Linked DNA regions of Macaca fascicularis. The protein of the gene in region 1 interacts with the protein of each later gene in a pairwise test. Links are inferred from orthologs where the notes say so. Each region holds a gene or a part of one and is shown in the gene's direction. Other genes may lie near its edges.

Region 1 (10,174 bases):
ACCCAGGAGACAGAGGTTATGGTGAGCCAAGATCGTTTCACTGCACTCCAGCCTGGGTGACAAGAACAAGACTCCAAAACAACAACAACAACAACAACAACAAAAACCCCAGGTCAAAATCTCATCTTTAAAATTCACACTAAGGAAGTTGTCACAGATGTCAGCAAAGATTCATTTATGTGTAAATTAATGGCAGCAAGTTTATACTAGCAAAACAATTGGAAAATAACCTAAATGTCCAATAATTGGGATGTTAATAAATACGTTCGACTTATACGTACCATGGAATGTGATAAAGTGATTAAAATTATAAATTTTTTAAAAATGTGTTTACACACAGAAAAAAGACTAGAAATAAATTAACTTCCTGGCTAGCTTGACACAGTCCACAAACTTCTTGGTTGCGCTTGGTTCACTGTTCTATTTATTTGTTTCTGAGTCTGCCATCTGCTGCTTTGAGCTCCTTGAGAGGGGGAACCATGTTGAATTCATGCAGACTCTATAACACAGTGCCCTGGCATCTTACAGTCCCTGAGCAGATAGTGTGCAACCAACGTTTACTCATTTGCTAAATTTTACAAAGCCCAAAAGTAACAGGATTTTTTTTTAATCTAGAAATAAACACCTCCACTACAAGAGCTACATAAAAGCTATTCTAGCCTTTGGACACTTCGTATCTATTAAAGTTCTATTAGGGCAGTTTTAACATAAAAAAGTCAAACAGTTGGGCATTTCTGCAGTCATGTGGGTAATATTATGTGCCCAAGAACTGGAATACTTGTTTTCCTCCTGAGTAACCGTGAGATTTCAAAATACATGAAAAAGTGCTATGTTAAATAAAATGAAGGTATTTATTTGATGATCATTTCTACAATTTAAAGGGAGAAGAGAGGTAGAATATCATACAGGCCTGATAATATCCCTAAAAGAATATGATTGAGTTTTAGAGTGAACCAACTCAGCTTCTTCTGCATCAATGTGGGGCCACAATGTGGCCCTGAAGCCACTTACGAGTGTCAGCCACATTTAAGTCCGTGATCAAAAATGCTGAGTCTCTGGAGATGAAATAATGGTCCTGTGTGTGGGAATCAGTACTATCCATGTTTCTCTCAAGGATAATTATGTGTATAAAAGCACGAGAGAAGAGTATTCTGCCTAGCTCTAGAGCCTCACTCTTTCCTGCTCATCTCCTTATGTCCTACAATCTTTGGCCCTGTCATACTACCCAGGTAAACTGGCCATGCTCTCATGTCCCACTGGCCATTGCCCGTTCTGTTCCCTTTGGCTGGAACATCCTGCTCTGCCTCCCTGACCTAGCTAATTCCTACTCATCATTAACATCGTTCCTCTTCTGGGAAACCTTCCCTAACCCCTGCACCAGTATGTGCCTGTCTGGTTTTCCCAGAGCACCTAGTCTCTCCTACATAGCACTTAGCACCATGTACTATGTCTGTTCACTTGTTAATGTACCCAGAGTGGTGAGCTTTTTGAAGGCAAGGTACTTATTTGATTCATCTATCTTTCCCAGGCCTGACATAGTGCCTAGCACTAAGTAAGCCCTCAAAAGATATTTGCTGAACTGTATGAAAGGAAGGGTAAGACCTCAAAGGACAAACTTAGTGCTCTCAGTTGCAGGGCCTGCTGATACTGTTGCTAGGAGCCAGCTCCTTTTCCAGGCAACAGCTGCAGGCTCCTCCCCCACTTGCCAGACCATTCTGCAGGTGGCAAAGGCAAAGCAGACGATGGGAGTATATTGCTACTGGTACTACAAGGGGTGGGAGACAACTAAACTAAAAAACAAGGGGAAAAAAATTCTGTCACAGTGCTAGCTCTTACAACCCATACTTTTCTCTTGCCAGCATTTACAGCGCCTGCTGCTAAGGAGATGCCTCATTTATTCTGAGTTCTTCTTCCAGTAGGGGTGAGCATCTGGACCCTCCAACCTTGCAGACCTTAATTTTGACTGAGGAAGTAAAGCAGATGTCCTTTGGTTTTTTATCCCTGTCATTTAACATTCAGAGCTCTACTCTACCTGTAGATCAGAAAGCAGATGCTAGGTATGGCCCTAAAAAGGACTGACGTGATTTTAACAACAGAAAGACAAATTCTATGGAAGATACCCTATTATAGTGGATGAATACACTGTGAACTCCCTGAGCAATGAAACAGGGTCTGCCCATCTGTATTGCCCCCAACCCTCACCCCTAATAGTGTCTTCCACAAATACTGTTGTAAAATGGACAAATGGATGGATGGCTGGGTGGGTGGGTGACCACTTCAGATGAAAATCAGAAGTCTGATTCCATCCAGCAGAGGGCACAAGCAGCTTGGGACTAGAGTAAGGACCCTAATCTGGGCTCCTCAAAATCTGGGATGCTTTGGCTTCCAGGGATCATTTTCAAGAAAAGGGAACGGTTCTGGTTTTTTGTTTGTTTTTCTTTAGATTACCCATCAAATACCATTTCTCTTTCTAAATGAGGAAAAAATAAATACAATTTTTTCCTGGAGAGTAAACCCACATCATTTGTCCAGAAGCCACTGGAGGAATTGACTTTGGTTCAGGAATCCTGGTGTCCTTTAATTTCTACTACTAAATCAGCACGTCCTGCATTCTCCCAAAAAGGAGCTTCCTGAGAGTCTATGAGGTACTATAACATGATCTGAGGTACTATAACATGATCTAAGCATTAAATTAACATTTGAACCCTTCAAGGCTAAGGACCAGAAAGGCAAGAGAATTCTACATAAAACTTCTCTACTTGGGTTTATTTGACCCTCGCTAATGTACAGGATGGTGTACAGGGTGGTGTATTACAAATGGACCTGTTCTAAACCATGGTGAAAACCCCATCCAAATTGAAAAATTAAAATACTTAGTCACTACAATAATAACAATGTCCAATGTAGATCGTAGTAGCTGTATTATATATTGGATCAAGAGTAACAGCGACATTTTGATAGTCTCCCAGCCTGCTACAGTAAGGCAGCTTTGTAACCCATACGACAGCATAGAAAAATATTATAATCATGTATGTTCTAGCATTTGGTCACCACAAGAGAGCCAAAGTTACCACGAAGTGTACCATTTCATCAAATGAATGAAACATAGCTGTATTACATTAAAAACTCAGTTCTATACAGCTTTCTTGAAAAAGGCCAGATAAAATTATTGATACTACACATGACAGTTTTTTAGACCTTGAATCCAGTTTTCCAAGCAAAAAGCATGACTATCCCAGTCAGGTGAACTGGGGTTATCAGGGAGCCCACAGGGTAAAATTATGAGCTGAATTTACAGCTAATTTGAAGAGAAGAAGAAAATACCTAACTTCAGAAGATAAAGTAAGATAAAAATCCCCTAAGAATAGTAAGTTGTAGGAATAACTATGATGTTTAACGATACTGGATGATGGCTACCATTTATTAAGCACCTACCAGTTGCCAAGCACTGTTAGGTACTATATAAAGTGATCTCATGTAATCTCTAATGAACCTATGAGGTCAGTATTGCCTTTTAATAGACAAAGAGACCCACGGAAGTAAAATAACTTACTCTAGAACAGAGCTAGTAAGTGGCAGAGCCAGAATTCAATCTCAGGGTCGCATTACTGCAAAGCTCAAGCTCTTTCCTTGGCATGATGCTGTTTCTCAAGACTAAAAATATGACATCAGCCTTAAGGATAGAAAAAAAAAAAATGTGAAAAATTAATCTCACCCACCTGTTTGATCCCTCTAGTATTCACTGGTTGAAGCCTGAGGGGAGGGGGAAGGGATAAGATTGAAAAAAAAAAAAAACGAAAACCGGTGCACATCTAGGGAAAGAGCTGGTGGGAACAGAGCCAAGACAGTTACAACGAGGCCTCCCTTCTTCCCTCTGCCAGGCCCAAAATGAGCTACATCTATATACCAGGAGAACATCTGCCAGCCCATGGCCTTCATCCCAAGGCTGCCCACACTTAGTTTATCTGAAAATGCAGTATTCTTGGGAAAATTTCTAAATAAAAACCTGAACAGAAACTAAACTGTGGGTAGTTCTAAACCAGCAATAACCAACAATCCACCTTCATTGTTCTGTGTGTCCCCATTCTTCAATTTTCAACTTTCCTCACTACTTTTTTCCTATAATATGCACTTTACTGCCTTCTCATCCATACCTTTTCCTCTCTCAGGCTCCCTACTGCCCCCCAAGAACATGCCAATCTCTCCCACAATGTGACTCTTAACAACTCTAGCGCTTCTCACACCAAAAATCCTAACCCCACTCCCTTCGCTCACCTCAGCTCCCCTGCCCGCCTCAAGCCTCAGACCCTTCCAGCCCTTCCGTGCTCCTGCTGAAAGGTGGCTTGCTTGTTCCACAGACCCAACCCTTCCAACCTCCAATCTCCCAACCTCCACCTGCCTCCCTTTCTTTCCCCAACTCCTCCACCCCCACTCCTTCCCTCCACCATCTATTCTTCCCGTCTTCCCACTCTAGGGGCTTCCCTCTCCTAGGCCCCCAATCTCTCCAACCCTTTCCTTGCCTTCTGTTCTCAATCTTCAAGACCTTCTTCCTTCACGCCTATCCCTAACTTGGCATTCCACACCCCCAACTTTTCTTCCCTGTCCCCAAGACCCCACCCTCTCTATTCCTATCCTAGCTCTTTTCCTCCTTGAACCCCTAAAATCCCATTTCCTTTCCCCATTCCTTCTTCCCGCTCTCTCCCCACGCATGCCTTCGTTCCGCTCTCTCCCCACGCGTGCCTCTCCCCGAGTCCACCCAGGCTAATCCTGCTCCCTATCCCACCCCGGCCCCGAACCCCAATTCTCACACGTCCCCATAGCCTGCCCCCGCACCCCTACGCCACCCTTAAATCCATCGTCCACACCCATATACCTCATCCTCCCCTCAACCCGCGCCCCGCCGTCCCTCTCGGGCTTCCCCTCCCCCACCCCGCCGCTCCCTAACACCCCGCCCCCGCTCCCACACGCAACCCGGGGCCCCGCGAGCGGCCCGGCCCGCGGCCGCCACCTACCTGTGCCCCTGCCCGGGGCAGCGAGCGGCAGCTCCTCTGTGGCGGCTCCCTCCTCCCGCGGCGCGGCTGACGGGGAACGGCTCAGCACCCCGGGCACAAAGCTAGGGAGGGTGGGACACAGCGAGGGTGGGAGGAGGGAGAGGGCTGGGGGCAACCAGGCGCTGTGGGACCGCGGGACCGGCGGGGACGGGGGCAAGGCTGGGCCGGGGAGGCGCGCGTGCGCGGGCCCCGGCACGAAGGCGGGGCCGGGTCTAGAGGCGGGGCCGGGCCCCAGGCAGGCGACCCGAGGGCCGAGGGTTTGGAACTAGCAGAGGTGGGCCCTGCGCGTGCGTGCTCGCGGGAGGGCGGATCCCCTGGGTCCTGCGGGCCCCAGGGATACAGCTGAGCTGGGGGAGGGTAGGCAGCGCAAGTCCTGGGACTGCCCTGGGAAAGGCGCTCGGGAGTGGTTGCGCATCTTGGCCCGCGAAGTAATGGGAGCTGGAGAAGGCGGGGTCAAGGGCGGGCGGGGCCTGTGGGAGGCGTGGCGCGAAGAGCTAGGGGTAGGAGGGGCCGAGGCCGCGGCGAGGGGGCGGGGCTGAGGCGGGGTGGGGCCTGTGGGAGGCGTGGCGCGAAGAGCTCGGGGTAGGAGCGAGCGCGCCCGGGAACTCTGCGGAGGCCGCGGCGGCGCGGGGGGCGCGGCTGAGGGCAGGGCGGGCCTGTCGGAGTCGTGGCGCGAAGAGCTCGGGGTAGGAGCGCGCGCCCGGGAACTCCGCTGTGGTCGCGGCGAGGGGGCGGGGCTGAGGGTGAGACGGGGCTTGTGGGAGGCGTGGCGCGAAGATTTCGGAGTTGGAGCGCGCGCAGTCCCGAACTCCGCTGAGGCTGCGGCGAGGAGGCGGGGCTGTGGGTTGGGGCGCTCTGCGTGGGGCGGGGCGAAAGGGAGGTTTCGAGCCAGGAAGGTACGGCGCCCAGAACTAAGGGGAGTCCCAGGCGAGCGGGCCGCGGGGTGGGCAGGCTGGTACCAGGGGGTGTGGGGGCCTGGCCGGGCAAGGCAGAAGGAAGGGGATGCTGGTGGGAAGGGAGCAACAGTGGAGGGTGGTGAAAAGACGAGCAACGGGAGGCGTGGAAGGGCCGTCGCGGGAGGTCTGACGCGGACCCGCCTTCTCCTCTAGACCCTGGAGGCGCCAGTGCCAGGCCTCGAAGCTCTTTGAGGCCAGAAATAGCGTCTTGACCACCAAAAGGGAAAACCAATTGTAAATCGAAATTAATTAGCCTACCAAAATGTAAGCTGTCAGCCGCAACGTAAGCCATCTAGCTATGAATTGTACTTAAGGTCGGGGGCATTTATTATATTCTTTACATACTTTGGGGCGAGGCCTCCACAAGTCTGAGGCTCTAGGGCCCTCGGAAGTCTGTCTCCACAGGGCCTGGGACTGAGGAGGAGGGTTTGGGATGGAGGTGAGAAGGTGGTGCCAGGGCTGGTTTGTCTTGGAAGCGGTGGCCTTGTCCCCGCGGAGACAAGCCGTAGGCCAGGTCCGCGTTTTCTAAAGTACACCACGTTCCCAATGGATGGTACTTGAAAGAGCATGAGGAGTCCAGCTGTAGCACCAGAACCAAGGGGGCTGGTCAGGTTGAAGGTCCTCTAAGGACTTGACCTGAAGAGGTTTGGAGAAAGAAGGACCACAAAGGGCATGTGAGCTAGCGATGAAGGGGTGAACTGGGGACGAAACCAGTGGCCCTAATTTGAAAGACAGGATAAAGCATCAGGGAATTCCAGGGTCAGGGATTGTAAAAAATGGAAAGGATAGCACCCCAGAGTGTACCACCTTTGGTAAACTGCGGCCCTGAGGAAATTACCTTGTTCTGAAGGGGTGGGGGATTAGACTACCTCCCAAACCTGCACTTTTGTTTTGTTTTTTGGAGACATCATCGCTCTGTAGCCCATGCTGGAGTGCAGTGGCGCGATCTCACCTCACTGAGCCTCCGCCTCTTGGGTTCAGGCGAGTCTCCTGCCTCAACCTCTGGATTAGCTGGGATTACCGGCGCCCGCCACCACACCCGGCTAATTTTTATATTTTTAGTAGGGACGAGGTTTCACCATGTTGGTCAGGCTCGTCTTGAACTGCTGGCCTCAAGTGATCCGCCTGCCTGGGCCTCCCAAATGCTGGGATTACAGGCGCCTGCCAACAGGTCCGGCTAATTTTTGTAGTTTTAGTAGAGGGGATTTCGAGGTTTCACCATGTTGCCCAGGCTGGTCTTGAACTTGTGAGCTCAAGCTGTCCGCCCATCTCGGCCTCTCAAAGTGTCAGGATTACAGGCGTGAGTCACTGGCGTCATTGTATGTATTTCTCTAAGGTTGGTTGTCTCTTGTCATTAACTGCAACAAAAGATAAAGAAAACCCAGTCTCTGCCATTTCTACTTAAGTAATTCTACCCAAAACAGGAAATAGGGAGGATAATGTTGAATATAGAAGGTGTGAAATGAGTTTTGCATTAAAGCATGTGTTTGCTTCTCAGAAAACTTAAGAATGTGAGGTAAGAAAAGAACTGAACACTTGGGAAGTACATTCTTTCCTATTCATCTCCATATCAACCCTGAAGTGTAACTCTTTTTTATTTTTATTTTTTTTATTTTTATTTTTTTTTTTGAGACGGAGTCTGGCTCTGCCGCCCAGGCTGGAGTGCAGTGGCCGGATCTCAGCTCACTGCAAGCTCCGCCTCCCGGGTTCACACCATTCTCCTGCCTCAGCCTCCCGAGTAGTTGGGACTACAGGCGCCCGCCACCTCGCCCGGCTAGTTTTTTGTATTTTTTAGTAGAGACGGGGTTTCACCGTGTTAGCCAGGATGGTCTCGATCTCCTGACCTCGTGATCCGCCCGTCTCGGCCTCCCAAAGTGCTGGGATTACAGGCTTGAGCCACCGCGCCCGGCCATCTCTTTTTTAAAAAACAAGTTCTTGACCGGACACAGTGACTCGCTCCTGAAATCCCAGCACTTTGGGTGGCCAAGGTGGGCGGATCGCTTGAGCTCATGAGTTAGAGACCAGCCTGGGCAACATGGCAAAACCCTGTCCCAACAAAACAAAAAAATGAGCCAGGCTTGGTGGTGCGTGCCTGTAGTCCCAGCTACTAGGAAGGCTGAGGTGGGAGGATCGCTTGAGCCTGGGAGGCAGAGGTTGCATTGAGCCGAGATCACATGGTTGCACTCCAGCCTGGGCCATAGAGCCAGACCTTATCTCAAAAAAAAAAAAGTTATCTCCCTATAGCTCCAACCCTCACATTTCCACCCCCAAATAGATTACTGCATAGTTTCCCCAGCTTTACACTATTTATACATGGGTCCAATAATTACTTGTGGATGTGCTGTCCTCTATATGATGGTATATTTAGCAGCATTTTCCCTCCCAAGTTGTGACAGCTAAAACTTCACATGTTGTGAAGTGTCCGTTGGAGGCCAAAATCTACCCCCAGTCCAGTTGAGAACCACTGGAGTACGGAGTACAAGATAAACTTCATTGCCGTTAACTTGGCTTTTCAGATCTTTCATTATCTTTTCCCAATCTACCTTTCCTAGAATTTGACTCAGTCCAAGAGAACTACCAATGCAGGAATCCTGTCTTTGGCTTCCTCCATAGATTTCTTTGGCTTCTTCCATAGATTATGATCTTTTACTGACTTTTCTTGGATGTTTCCAGGGATGAAAGAAATTTAAAATCTTTACTTTGCACGAAAGTCCTTGTCTCTCCAAAGTTCCTGCTCAAAATGTGTATTTGTTGAGTTCAGTTCACACCCCTGGAGGTGTAAAAAATCCTTTTTCCATTTGTGAGCACCACTGAGAATAAAAATGGTAGTCATATTTCTATTTTTCACCTTCCTCTATGTAATATGGTTTATAGATCATCATGAACTTTTTACTCTCCTCTGAACAATATTGCGCCTGACGATGTCCTACTTAAAACATACTACCCAGAACTGAACACAGTGTTCTGGATGTGCGTCACACGATGTTAGTACGTAGTATATTATACTATTAGCTTCATGCTTATTCATCTTCCTTGACTCTGAAACTTGAAGGCAAGAACCAAGTCTTAGTCCCTAGGTTGTTATATTCGTCTTTGCAATACTAGCACAGTGCTTGGCCCTTAGTTCAACTGGTGTTCAAAAATGTTGATGGAATGTGGTACTTCCTTAAACTCTAAGATAGCATTCCATTACCTTTAGGGGCAGATAGAGTACACTGTTGCCTTATATTGACTTTGTGATCAACCAAACCTATATGTATCAGATCAGAGGTTGGCACACTTTTTTGTAAAGGGCCAAATAGTAAATATTTCAGGTTTTATGGGCCTTGTAGTCTGTTTCAGTGACTCAGCTATGTCACTGTAACATATAATCAGCCATAGGCAATATATAAGCGAATGAGCATAGCCACTTTCCAATATAATTCATGGACATTAAAATATGAGTTTCATGTAATTTTTGTGTGTCACAGTATATTTTGATTTTAAAAAATATTTTAAAATGTTAAACACATTTTTAGCTTGTGGGCAGTACAAAAACAAATGGCAGGCTAGATTTGGCTCACAGGCAGTAGTTTGCTAACCCCTGATTTAGACTAACCCTTGTATGATTGATTTTTTCCAAAACTGAGTAAAGGTTTTTACTTTTATCCTTATTAGATGACTTACTCATTGCAAGCCATCTTTCTAGCTTACTCATTTCTTTTTGAATGCTAATTCTGTCACCTAGCGTATCAGCTGACATCCCAAGCTTTGTGTCTGCAAAATTGATGAGCATACTTTGTGCATCCTTAATTAATAAAAATGTTGAGTAGGATAAGGATAGAAGTTCTCCACAAGTTCATTTTCTTCCATTAATCATCATTCTTTGAGTATAGCCACTCAGAGTTAGAAATATCTACCTAGAGTACTGGCTGTCACCCAATTCATATTTCTCTGTCGGGTTCACAGGGTATCTTGAGAAGCTTTGTCTGAAGCTTTGTCGAAATGTTTAGAACATGTTCCAAATGGGTAGGAATTCCATCAGACAAACAGAAATGTATAGGTTTGGTTTAGCTTGTAAACTAATGTTACTGCTACTTCCAATTTTAGTACTTCCTTGGTTACATTTTCAAGGCTACCATTTTAATAATGAATTTTAATAATTTTAGGGTTTTGTTGAGAATTAGC
Region 2 (9,938 bases), on another chromosome or scaffold:
AACTTTGTCTCTAGCAGAATTTGACATAGCTCCAGCCTGAGGCACCCGGAATTCCTTGGCCCTCCTTGAACATAACCACACAGGCTTTATGCGTGGAGTGTGGAAAGTGGGCAGCGAGGGACGGCGGCAGGTGCGAGAAGAACCCTCCAGCAGGACTCAGGAGCTCTGGGCTCTGGGATGTAAATCAAAGCACCGTGCCTCAAAGGGAGGCGCCCAAGGGATGCCTCAGCCTCTCATTCCCAGTTGGCGAGCAAATGGACAGCGATGCACTAACGTGGCACGTTCTGGAAAAGCAGCTCTTGGCTTCTGCAGATGGAGTATCTCGGGCTTTGAAAGGGGGCTTCCGGGTGGCTCTGGAGGGATGATTTGCTCAACTTTAAATAAAAGCGGCAGCAAAGTAGATCAAAAGACGGCAGCCCTCCCGCCCTCCTGCAGCAGGTATTTTCCCGGCTGCTGCTGCCCCCTGCTGACAGAATCAGGACATCGCGGCCTCCGTGCCCCGCCGAGGCCACAGCTCAGGCCTCCACTTTGCATTCCAGGCGCACAGAAGGTGAGTCAGTCCCATTTCCTCTGCCCTTTATTGAGATGGCCACCGCCAAGCACTGCATCAGCGGAGACATAAACAACCAGGCCCACGTGAACAGTGGAAAAAAGAACAGCAAAGGTCATTACCAAGTGAAGGCAGTGCACCAGATGCGACAGTGCATTATAGGAAATTGTAAAACAGAACTGCACCACCGCATTATAAATCCCCCTCCAGGGAGTCATGGCCACCGCAGTGGCTGTTCATCAGAACCGGTGCTCCCTGAGTCTCACCACGTGTCAGGAGTGCTGGGGACCCCTTGCATGTGGCGACTCTTCTAAGCCTCAAAGCGCCTACCAGAGCAGATGGGAGGAGACTGAGACACAGAGGAGAGGTGGCAAGACAAGGATTCAAGCCCAGGAAGCCCGAGTCCCATGGTCTTGCAGATTTCAAGTGCAAAGTCAATATCCTTTATTCAGTGGGTTCATACATCTAAATCAGTGCTTCTCATCCGTGGAAGATTGTCATTTGGCAATGTCCCGGGACAATTTTGGTGGTCTCAGCAAGGGAGCTTGCCCTGGTATCTAGTGGGCAGAGGACAGAGATGCTGTCAAACATCTATATTGCTCAGGACAGCCCCCATAACTAAGAACACTTCACCCCTAAGTATCAATAGTGCCGAGGTAGGGAAACCCTGATCTAAATACATAAAATTTCTACAAATCTACTAGCACTCTCTTTTTGGCATTGCCTCTGACATGAGGGCATTTGAGCAAATCTGCTTTAATGTGTGAAAGGTATTCTTCTTGAGAATTCATGCAGAATAACTCTCAGTTATTTCATTTCCCCTAAAACCTCCTATTTACCCAACTGTTGGATTGCATCCAACAATTCTGCTACTACACTCTGTGAATGACAGGGCTGTGACGGGGCCCAGGCAGCAGGAGAACCCCCTGGCTGTCACAGCACAGTGGCGAAGGGGCTTGGGCCCTGCAGTGCGGATGATCAGCCCTGGCGCTGTGCGTGGAAGGTTGCTGCTGTCCCCGGCAGGGAGCCACAGCTCATCCGCATGCTGCTCTTCAGGGATGTCTGGACGTGTTCAGCCCCAGGATGATTGAACAATTCCTGGGAACAACTTGTCAGCAGCTGCCCCTCCACTCCCCTCTTACCCAAAGCCCTGGTAATCAGCCCCAACAGTCTAGTCCCTGGCTTTGGGAAGCAGGACTGTTAAACCTTCCTCTTCCACAGAACATATGGGTGTAACTAGGGGTGCGGGCTGGGGGTGGGAGAGGACCCAGGATCAGGTCACCCCATATGAATGGTCATTGCACACCTCCCAGCAGTAAGCCCATTGCCTGCCCAAAAATTGGTATTCAAGAGTTGGTGCTTATTGAATGAATGAATACACAACTGGAAGGGTAAAGTCTATGAGAGTCATTCATTCATTCAAAAGTATTTACCGGGTGCCTCACCATGCTGGAGACTGTCCTAGATACTGGGTGAACAAAAGAGACCAAGTGTCAGTTCTCATGAAGATTACCTTCTAGTGGAGGGTGACAGATACCATACAAATAAACTAATAAATATGGAATATAGGTGGCCCTCTGCATCCACGGGTTCCACATCTCTGGATTCAACCAACTGCACGTTGCAAACATCTGGGGAAAAGAAAAATTAAAAAAAAGCAACAATAAAAAATAATACAAATAAAATACAGTATACCAATATTTCCATAGTATTTCCATTTTATTAGTTACTGGAAGTAATCTAGAGGTGACTTAAAGTATACAGGAGGATGTGTGTAGGTTTTGTGCAAATATTACACCATTTTATATAGGGAACTTGAGTAGCCCCGGATTTTGATATCTGTGGTTCCCAATCCCCCGCGGATACAGAGGGACAGACTGTGTAATCTCTGGCAGTAGTGAACGCTACGAAGAAAATAAAGTAAGTCAAGGAGATTGAGACTGACAGATTGGGGGCGATGCTTAAATTGTGTGTTTGGGAGGGCTCCCCGAAGGCATGACATTTGAGCTGAGATCCGAAGATTATGAAGGAAAATCATACAGCTTCATTGGGAACAGTGCGTACAAAGACCCTGAGGTGGGAACGTTCCCGAAGAGCTTGAGAAACAGTAAAATGGCCCAACAGAGTAGATAAAGGTGGGTTCTGGCATTAGCTAAGAAAAGCAGTTCTCAACATGAGCATCTGTTGGAGTCACCAAGAGGGCTTATGTGGTTGCATGTTTCTGGTGGAGGAGGGGGGAGCGGTTTATCTTAGGGTTGTAATGTTTCTGATTGGAGATGTCATTTGTGGTTTATGGTCATTTTGACATTAGCCCTTAGGTTGATGACCTTTGGGTTGGACTTAGGCAGTTTCTGATCAAGGGGAACTTTAAAATGGCGGCGCTTCTCCAAGTTGGCGATGTCCCTGCTCTGTCATTACCCACCTTGCAAAATGAAGGAACGGAGGCTTCAGAGGCTGCCCCGATGTGTGTCTGTGTCTTAGCTAAGTGGAGCTGCCTCAGGAGGGTGACGCACTGAATGGGGCCCCTTATGGGATTAACAGGGTTACTCATGGTGAACAGGTTGACCTGGAGGGGAGCTGGCAAGAGGGAGGCAGAAGACCAGAAAGAAGCTTTTTGCTCACCGGACCTGGGGTGTCTGAGACGACTCACGTGATGTCACCAAAGAAGAAAAGCAGTTACGGAGAATGAAGGAGAAACAGACCTTTACTGTAACACCAGGAATGAACTCCAAGGAAAGAACATTTCAGACAACTTGCATTTACTCTGGATTTGCAGCTGAAACCATCAGTCATTCATAGAGTGTGTGTTTATTCCCCAACACAAGGCTGGCGGCCACCCTGAGATGGAGAGTGGCAGAGAGGTGGAATGTTCTAGGCGTCTGGAGGGAATGTGGAACTTTCAGGCAGGTACCTTTGCTGAGAGGCTGCTCTTCCCTTCAGCGTCAGCCATCAGAGATCCCAGGGGCCCCAAAGGAGTGACAACAGGGGGTACATTCGGCCAACCAATGACAGTGATGATAAACCAAATCTGTCCAGATAAGCTTCCGCTCTCCCATCCACCCCACAATCATGTATGCACTTACTATGTCCCAGGCACTTACAAGTTTCTCTCCTTCCATCCCCACAATCACCCCACGAGGCAGGTTCTCCTAGGCCCACCCTGAGAGACTGAGGGATGAGATGACTTGCCCAGGTCAGGGAGATGGCAGTGATTTAGGTCTTTGACCCCCAACCACGTGGAAGAGGCACCCCCAACCCGGTAAATGCGCACAGAGAGCCTCCCTGGGTGATGGGCAACGAGGTGAGTGATGCATTCTCCTTTTGCAGAGAGTAAATGGACTAAGAGGAAAATACGACCTCAAGTTTCCAAGTCTCACCGCTCAGCCCCATCAAAGTGTACTTGTTCTCCCTTTGTTCACAAACATCACTTTAAACACTTTCATATTTTAGATTTTAAAGCTCATAACATTTTTGGGCTTTAAAAATTACATTTCCCTGCGGGATGCGGGGCAAGGACTGAACTTCTCGATGCACTGTCATAGCCGCGTTGTGCAGAACCCGGGAACCGGGGAAACCGCCAGAACCGCTGCGAAGTCAAACAAAGTCAGAACGGCCTCTACGCCGCGACCTGGCCCACTGCGCAGGCGCCACTCCAGACTGTCTGGCGCCCAACCTGCCCCATTGTAGGCGAACCCACTTCTAGAAGGACAGCGGGAGTGGCGAATCCCCATTCAACCCGAAAACGGGTCAAGCCAGACTCTAACCAATCAGAAAGCTTCTTTTATCACCGCTTCTGGCTGCTTGACGTGGAGGCTTCTTTATCTCGGGACTCTGGGGCGCAGCGGGGGCGGGATATAAAGCTGACTGACGTCAATAGCAACCACTCGTCAAGCAGAATGAACTTGAAGAACAGATAATCCTACGAGTTGCATCTCAAGAAAAGGCTGTTATCCCAACTCCTTACTCCCATTGGGTTTTTGGAGCCCTCGAGGGTGAGAGCTTTTGGCGGCAGCCAATCGAGGGTCAGCGAGGAGGAGGAGGCGGGGCAGGTGGGCTATGGTTACCTAGAGAGTGCGTTAGGTGCTGTACTTGTGGCCGGAGGAGAGCCGGGTCGTCTTTCCCTGATCCCGCTGGATAGGGCTGTGCTGAGGGGCTGGGCAGGGAGCACAGACCGTGTCCGCTCTCTTGCACCTTTTCAGACTGCCGTGTCGGGCCTCGAGCCGGGCCCACCTGGAGCCCTCCCCTGCCCACCCGCCCCCAGCGCCCGATTTTCGCCCTCAGCCCAGAAGGGCCGGGCTTGGTCATCCCCAGTCCCGTCGCGGCCACTGGCCCTTGAGATCAGCCCTCCCCACCTTCCCGTCCCAGGCCAGCCCAGGGCCCGAAGCCCACCCACCCGCGCCTCTAGCAGCCGCTCTTGTGCTCTGGGTACGGCTCGCGGGAGTGTTGGTTACCATGGTGAAGCTGGCAGCCAAATGCATCCTGGCAGGTGAGTCTAAAAATTTGCGCTTGAATACGGTGGTCTCTGGAGTCCAGAGCCTTCATAATTCATCCAAAGCTTTTGTTCACCTAAATTGCCTACCTTCTTTTCCTTTCTCTCTGCCGAAGGCGAGTTACTGCAATTACTGATACAGTAAGTTACATTAGGCGCGGAAGAATGATCTTCCAGGGCACTTCGCAGCTCCGGTGGATTTCCCCCTGCTCCCTGTCACATACTCTGAGACCACCTTTACCAGTTGAGCTGACTCGTTAAAAAATCACTAGTTAAAACTCTAGAGGAGCAGACTTGTTAAAAACAAAACAAACAAAACTTAAGCAAACCTTGAGTGCTTTAGCTAAACATTTACTGTACCCCAAAGTTAGGCATCAGTGACTTTGGTAGTCTTTACTATGGGATTTTTTTTTCCCTGACCTCACCCCCTCTGATAACGGTGACCTGAGTGTAGTGACCAGAGTTTGCAAAAGGCACTTGTGTGTTGCCTTTAAGACCCAAAGTTACTGTGCTGCCCCTTTCCAAGAAAGGCATAAATGTTGAGACTCCCAAAGGCAGGAATCTTTGTTTTGTTGACTGATACATCCCAAGCATCCAGAACAATGCCTGGAACATAGTGGGTACTCAATAAATACTTTCAGAATGGATGAATATATGGCATGCACATTTGTAGTGTGCCCCTTGTATCACTCTGCACATTTAGAAAAACAATAGCTTGGATTATAGACTACGAAACACATATGCATGCTACTGAGTCCTTACTGCATGTGAGGCACACATATTTCGTGTAATCGTCTCACCATAGCACACTGGGCTAGGTACTGGATTGTTCTTTTTTGTTTGTTTTTTTTGGAGACAGAGTCTCACGCTGTCACCCAGGTTGGAGGGCAGTGGCACGATCTCGGCTCACTGCAACCTCCACCTCACTGGTTCAAGCAATTCCCCTGCCTCAGCCTCCTGAGTAGCTGGGATTACAGGCACACACCACCATGCCCGGCTAATTTTTTTTTTTTTTTTTTTTTTTTTTTTTTTTTGTATTTTGAATAGAGACGGGGTTTCACCATGTTGGCCAGACTGGTCTCGAACTCCTGACCTCAGGCGATCCGCCCGCCTCAGCCTGGCAAAGTGTTGGGATTGCAGGCATGCGCCACCGCGCCTGGCCAGGTACTGGATTGTTCTGATCTTACTGAGGCACTGAGAGATGTCAGCCAAGGTCAACCCCTAGTGAAGCTCCTAGGCAGGATTTCAGCCCCTCGATCTGCCCAACTCCAAAACTCTTAACTCGTGTTTCTGTTCAGACCTGTGACCTTTCCAGGCTTCCCTGGCCAGCTCAGGAAAGAAGTGGTGAGAAATTATATAGAGAAAAAGATTTCTTTTTAAAAAAATTCCCCTCTTCCAGACTGAGAATAAATTATGATATTTTTAATAGCTTTTATACTTTGAAAATAAAAGGGTCACACAGAAAGATGACTGACAGTAGTAACTGAATCATACTGGAGCAAAAGAAATTAATGGTTCTCAGGAGAGTCTCCAGTTTCCAGAACACCAGAGGAGGCAGTGTTGTGTAACAAAAGTAATTTTGCCTGTTCCTCTTACTGGCTGTGTCATCTTGGACAAAGCACTTTTTTGAGCTTTAATTTCCTTATGGATAAGGTGGGAACATTATTTTCTGAAGTTACATTTTTTTTTTAAATGGGCTTCTCTCTGTGTTCTTTTTACATTCGATTTTCATCATGGAGCTAACTTAATGAGCACTTTGGGTGCATCAGCTCGGTGCTAGACCCTCGGTACAGGTGGTCTCACTGAATCCTCATGGCAACCCTGGGGGATTGGTCTTATTGCCATCTTCATTTACAGATGAGGCAACTGAGGCCCAGAAAAATGAGAACATTTGCCTTGGGTCACAGAGCTGGAATCGGCAGAGCTGTATGATCCAGACCCTGGGTCCTAGTCTGATTTCCAGGGCTTTAGCCGAAGCTACACAGTCCTCAAGCTGTGCTCCTCTGGGCCTTTTTCTTTCTTTTTTTTTTTTTTAAGATGGAATTTCACTCTCGTAGCCCAGGCTGGAGTGCAATGGCACAATCTCAGCTCACTGCAACCTCCGCCTTCTGGGTTCAAGCGATTCTCCTGCCTCAGCCTCCCGAGTAGCTGGGATTACAGGCGTCCACCACCATGCCCAGCTAATTTTTTGTATTTTTTAGTGGAGACGGGGTTTCACCATGTTAGCCAGGCTGGTCTTGAACTCCTGACCTCAGGTGAACCGCCCGCCTCAGCCTCCCAAAGTGCTAGGATTACAGGCATGAGCCACTGTGCCCGGCCCTTTTTTTTTTTTTCTTTTGACGTAATTTCACTCTGTCTCCCAGGCTGGAGTGCAGTGGTGCACAATCTTAGCTCACCGCAACTTCCGCCTCCTGACTCAGCCTCCCATGCAGCTGGGGTTACAGGCACATGTCACCATGCCCAGTTAATTTTTGTATTTTTAGTAGAGATGGGGTTTCGCCATGTTGGTCAGGCTGGTCTCGAACTCCAGACCTCAAGTGAACCGCCCGCTTCAGCCTCCCAGAATGCTGGGATTACAGGCATGAGCCACCCACCGTGCCTGGCCTCTTTGTGCCCTTCTTTACCCCAACTCCCTTGGGCAGTTCTTTCACCTGAATGCAGCCACTGCCTAGTTAATGGCTCCTGAACTCCAGCCTGCGCCTCAATCTGCAGCCTCTTCAAGGCTTCCACAGCATTTCCTCTTGAAAGTTCCCAGGGGCCAAAAGACCTCAGCCCAGAAATCAACCCCCTTTGACACCCCTCACTCACCCCTGCCACACACACACCATTGGTTTTATTTTCCCATCCATGACCCACAGCCCTACTGCTGAAACTGTGTTATTCTGTTTTTTCTCTCACGTAACTAGTCATTGAAGGACCTGATGTTCAGTTCAAGTGTTAATGTGTTGAACAGATACTCACTGGGCACCTGCTGTGTCTGAGTCACCGTGCAAGGTGCAGTGGGCATGCAAGCATGAAGCAGTTGCATTCAAGGAAGAATTAAGATGCACGTGATAAGTTGTAACACAGCGAACACAAAGCAAATGCCCTTTGTGTGCCAGATGTGGGGAAATACCTCCAGGCACAGCTGCTGCTTGTTCTGGTTCTGGAGAAGAGAGAAAACAACATTTGACATTGATCTATATTTTATTTACTTTTTTAAAAAACACTTAAATAGCACTTATCTATGCCAGGCACTGTACATACTAACTCATTAAATCCTCATAACAATTCTGCAAGGTAGGTGCTGTGATTATCCTGTGTTATACGTGTTGCAGCTGAGGCACAGAGAGGTTAACTCACTGATTTAAAGTCACACAGCTAGAAAGTGATGGAGCTGGAATCTGGCTTCACAGTCTGTGCCCTTAAGTACCGTGATATTCTGCCTCTTGATATACATGGAGATAGTAATAGAGCCTCCTGGGAGGGTTGCTCTGACATCACATCTTGCACTGCCACTGAGCAATGATCCACATTAGCCACACAGATAAAGACGAAGGAGGGAGAGATGGCCTTCAGAGGCTGTGCAGGAAGGGTATTATTTGAGATTTCCTTGCAGAGAATGGACGGGATTTGAATTTGGTCTAGGGGTACCTGGAAGGAGGTGGCCTTGAGGAATTTTCAGGGACTGGGAGAACAGGAATGCAGAGCCCAGATTTGGGGTAAGGGATTGTTGGGGAGAGAGTGGGAAGGTGGGTTAGGGCTGACCGTGGAGATGGGTAGGCCATGAAGGAATCCTCAGTGGGGTTTGTGTGAAGGTTTGCCAAGATGGAGGCACTGTGTTATGAGGGTCCATCTGTGGATGCCACGCTCTGGGCGGATTAGAGCCGGGAGAGAGAAAGAAGAGGAGAGAAGTGTTTTCAGTTGAGGCACAGTCAGGAAGACAGAAAGCGCAGTCGCCATTTCAGCGGAGACATTTTATTATATGGAATCGGTTCATCAGGCGGTGGAGAACTGAGGAAGCAAGAAGGCAGCACTGGGATGACGCAGAGTGGCGGGCAGAGGTCGGGGGTGTCAGAAGCTGGAAGAGCCCCAGGGAGCTGGGATCCGGACCCCTGAAGAAGGGGCCCTGCCCGGCTGGTGCCAGCACCTTCAGGAGTTCAGTCACCCGCCGCATGCCACAGAGCACCAGGACCCATTTCCCACTGGGAGGAGCCCAGCCCTGTGTTCAGGGCACGACATACCAAATCAGTTCCAAACCATCCTGGAGGGTCTGTGTTTTAACATCACTCCCGGTACCAAGGACTACGTAAGTCAGGGGCCAGGCAAAAACCAGCAACTCTATTCGGCCTTTCAGTGGTGAGGATTTCAGTAGGATGTTAATGACACAGGTGCTGGAGGACTGGAAGAGGAAAAGGGGGAGACTGAGGCAGCACGGGTAGTAACTGCAGGAAGGAGCACCGCCTCTCGGGCTGGGAAAGCAGAGGGAAGCATGTGGGGCTCTCAGCCCAGAAGCAGGGAGGAGGGGCCCTGGGAGCCGAGGTGTGGATCTTTGAGAAGAGGGCACTGCCCACTGGTGCTGGTTCCTCTGGGGGCAACAATAAGGCTGGTCTAGGAGTAGGGAAACACACACACACACAAAAAAAACCAAGACCGGAAGCAGTTAGTGCTGCTGGGGTGCAGGCCATTGCTAGGGTAGTGCTAAGAAAAAGGAGAAGCAGGCGGGAAGAGCAACGTCCTCTCCCCTCACGCCGGCCTTCCCCTCTTCTTCCAGAACTACCATTGGCAAAGCCTAACAGGAAGCTCCTAGCAAGGGAGAAACGTGTCTGCAGAGGCCCCCTCCCCAGCACACCACGGAAGGACTTGAGGCTGAGACAGAAACCCAGCCGTGAGGTCTGAGCTAACTGGGGCGGCGGGGTC

What was found. The genes of interacting proteins can lie anywhere in the genome.
Region 2: the proteins of IFT25 (region 1) and IFT27 interact in binary tests that used the Homo sapiens proteins (3 or more experiments, as listed by UniProt). The two-hybrid records come from large-scale screens. The link is inferred for Macaca fascicularis from reciprocal best matches to the Homo sapiens genes IFT25 and IFT27.

What each region holds. Positions count from the first base shown.
Region 1 is NC_088375.1:180,726,109-180,736,282, forward strand, and holds the start of IFT25 (intraflagellar transport protein 25 homolog), read left to right. Parts: upstream 1-5,265; 5' UTR 5,266-5,479; intron 5,480-5,605; exon of another isoform or gene 5,606-5,794; intron 5,795-5,903; exon of another isoform or gene 5,904-6,290; intron 6,291-10,174. UniProt on the Homo sapiens protein: Component of the IFT complex B required for sonic hedgehog/SHH signaling.
Region 2 is NC_088384.1:14,888,950-14,898,887, forward strand, and holds the start of IFT27 (intraflagellar transport protein 27 homolog), read left to right. Parts: upstream 1-4,578; 5' UTR 4,579-5,002; coding exon 5,003-5,036; intron 5,037-6,086; coding exon 6,087-6,203; intron 6,204-9,938. UniProt on the Homo sapiens protein: Small GTPase-like component of the intraflagellar transport (IFT) complex B that promotes the exit of the BBSome complex from cilia via its interaction with ARL6. Not involved in entry of the BBSome complex into cilium. Prevents aggregation of GTP-free ARL6.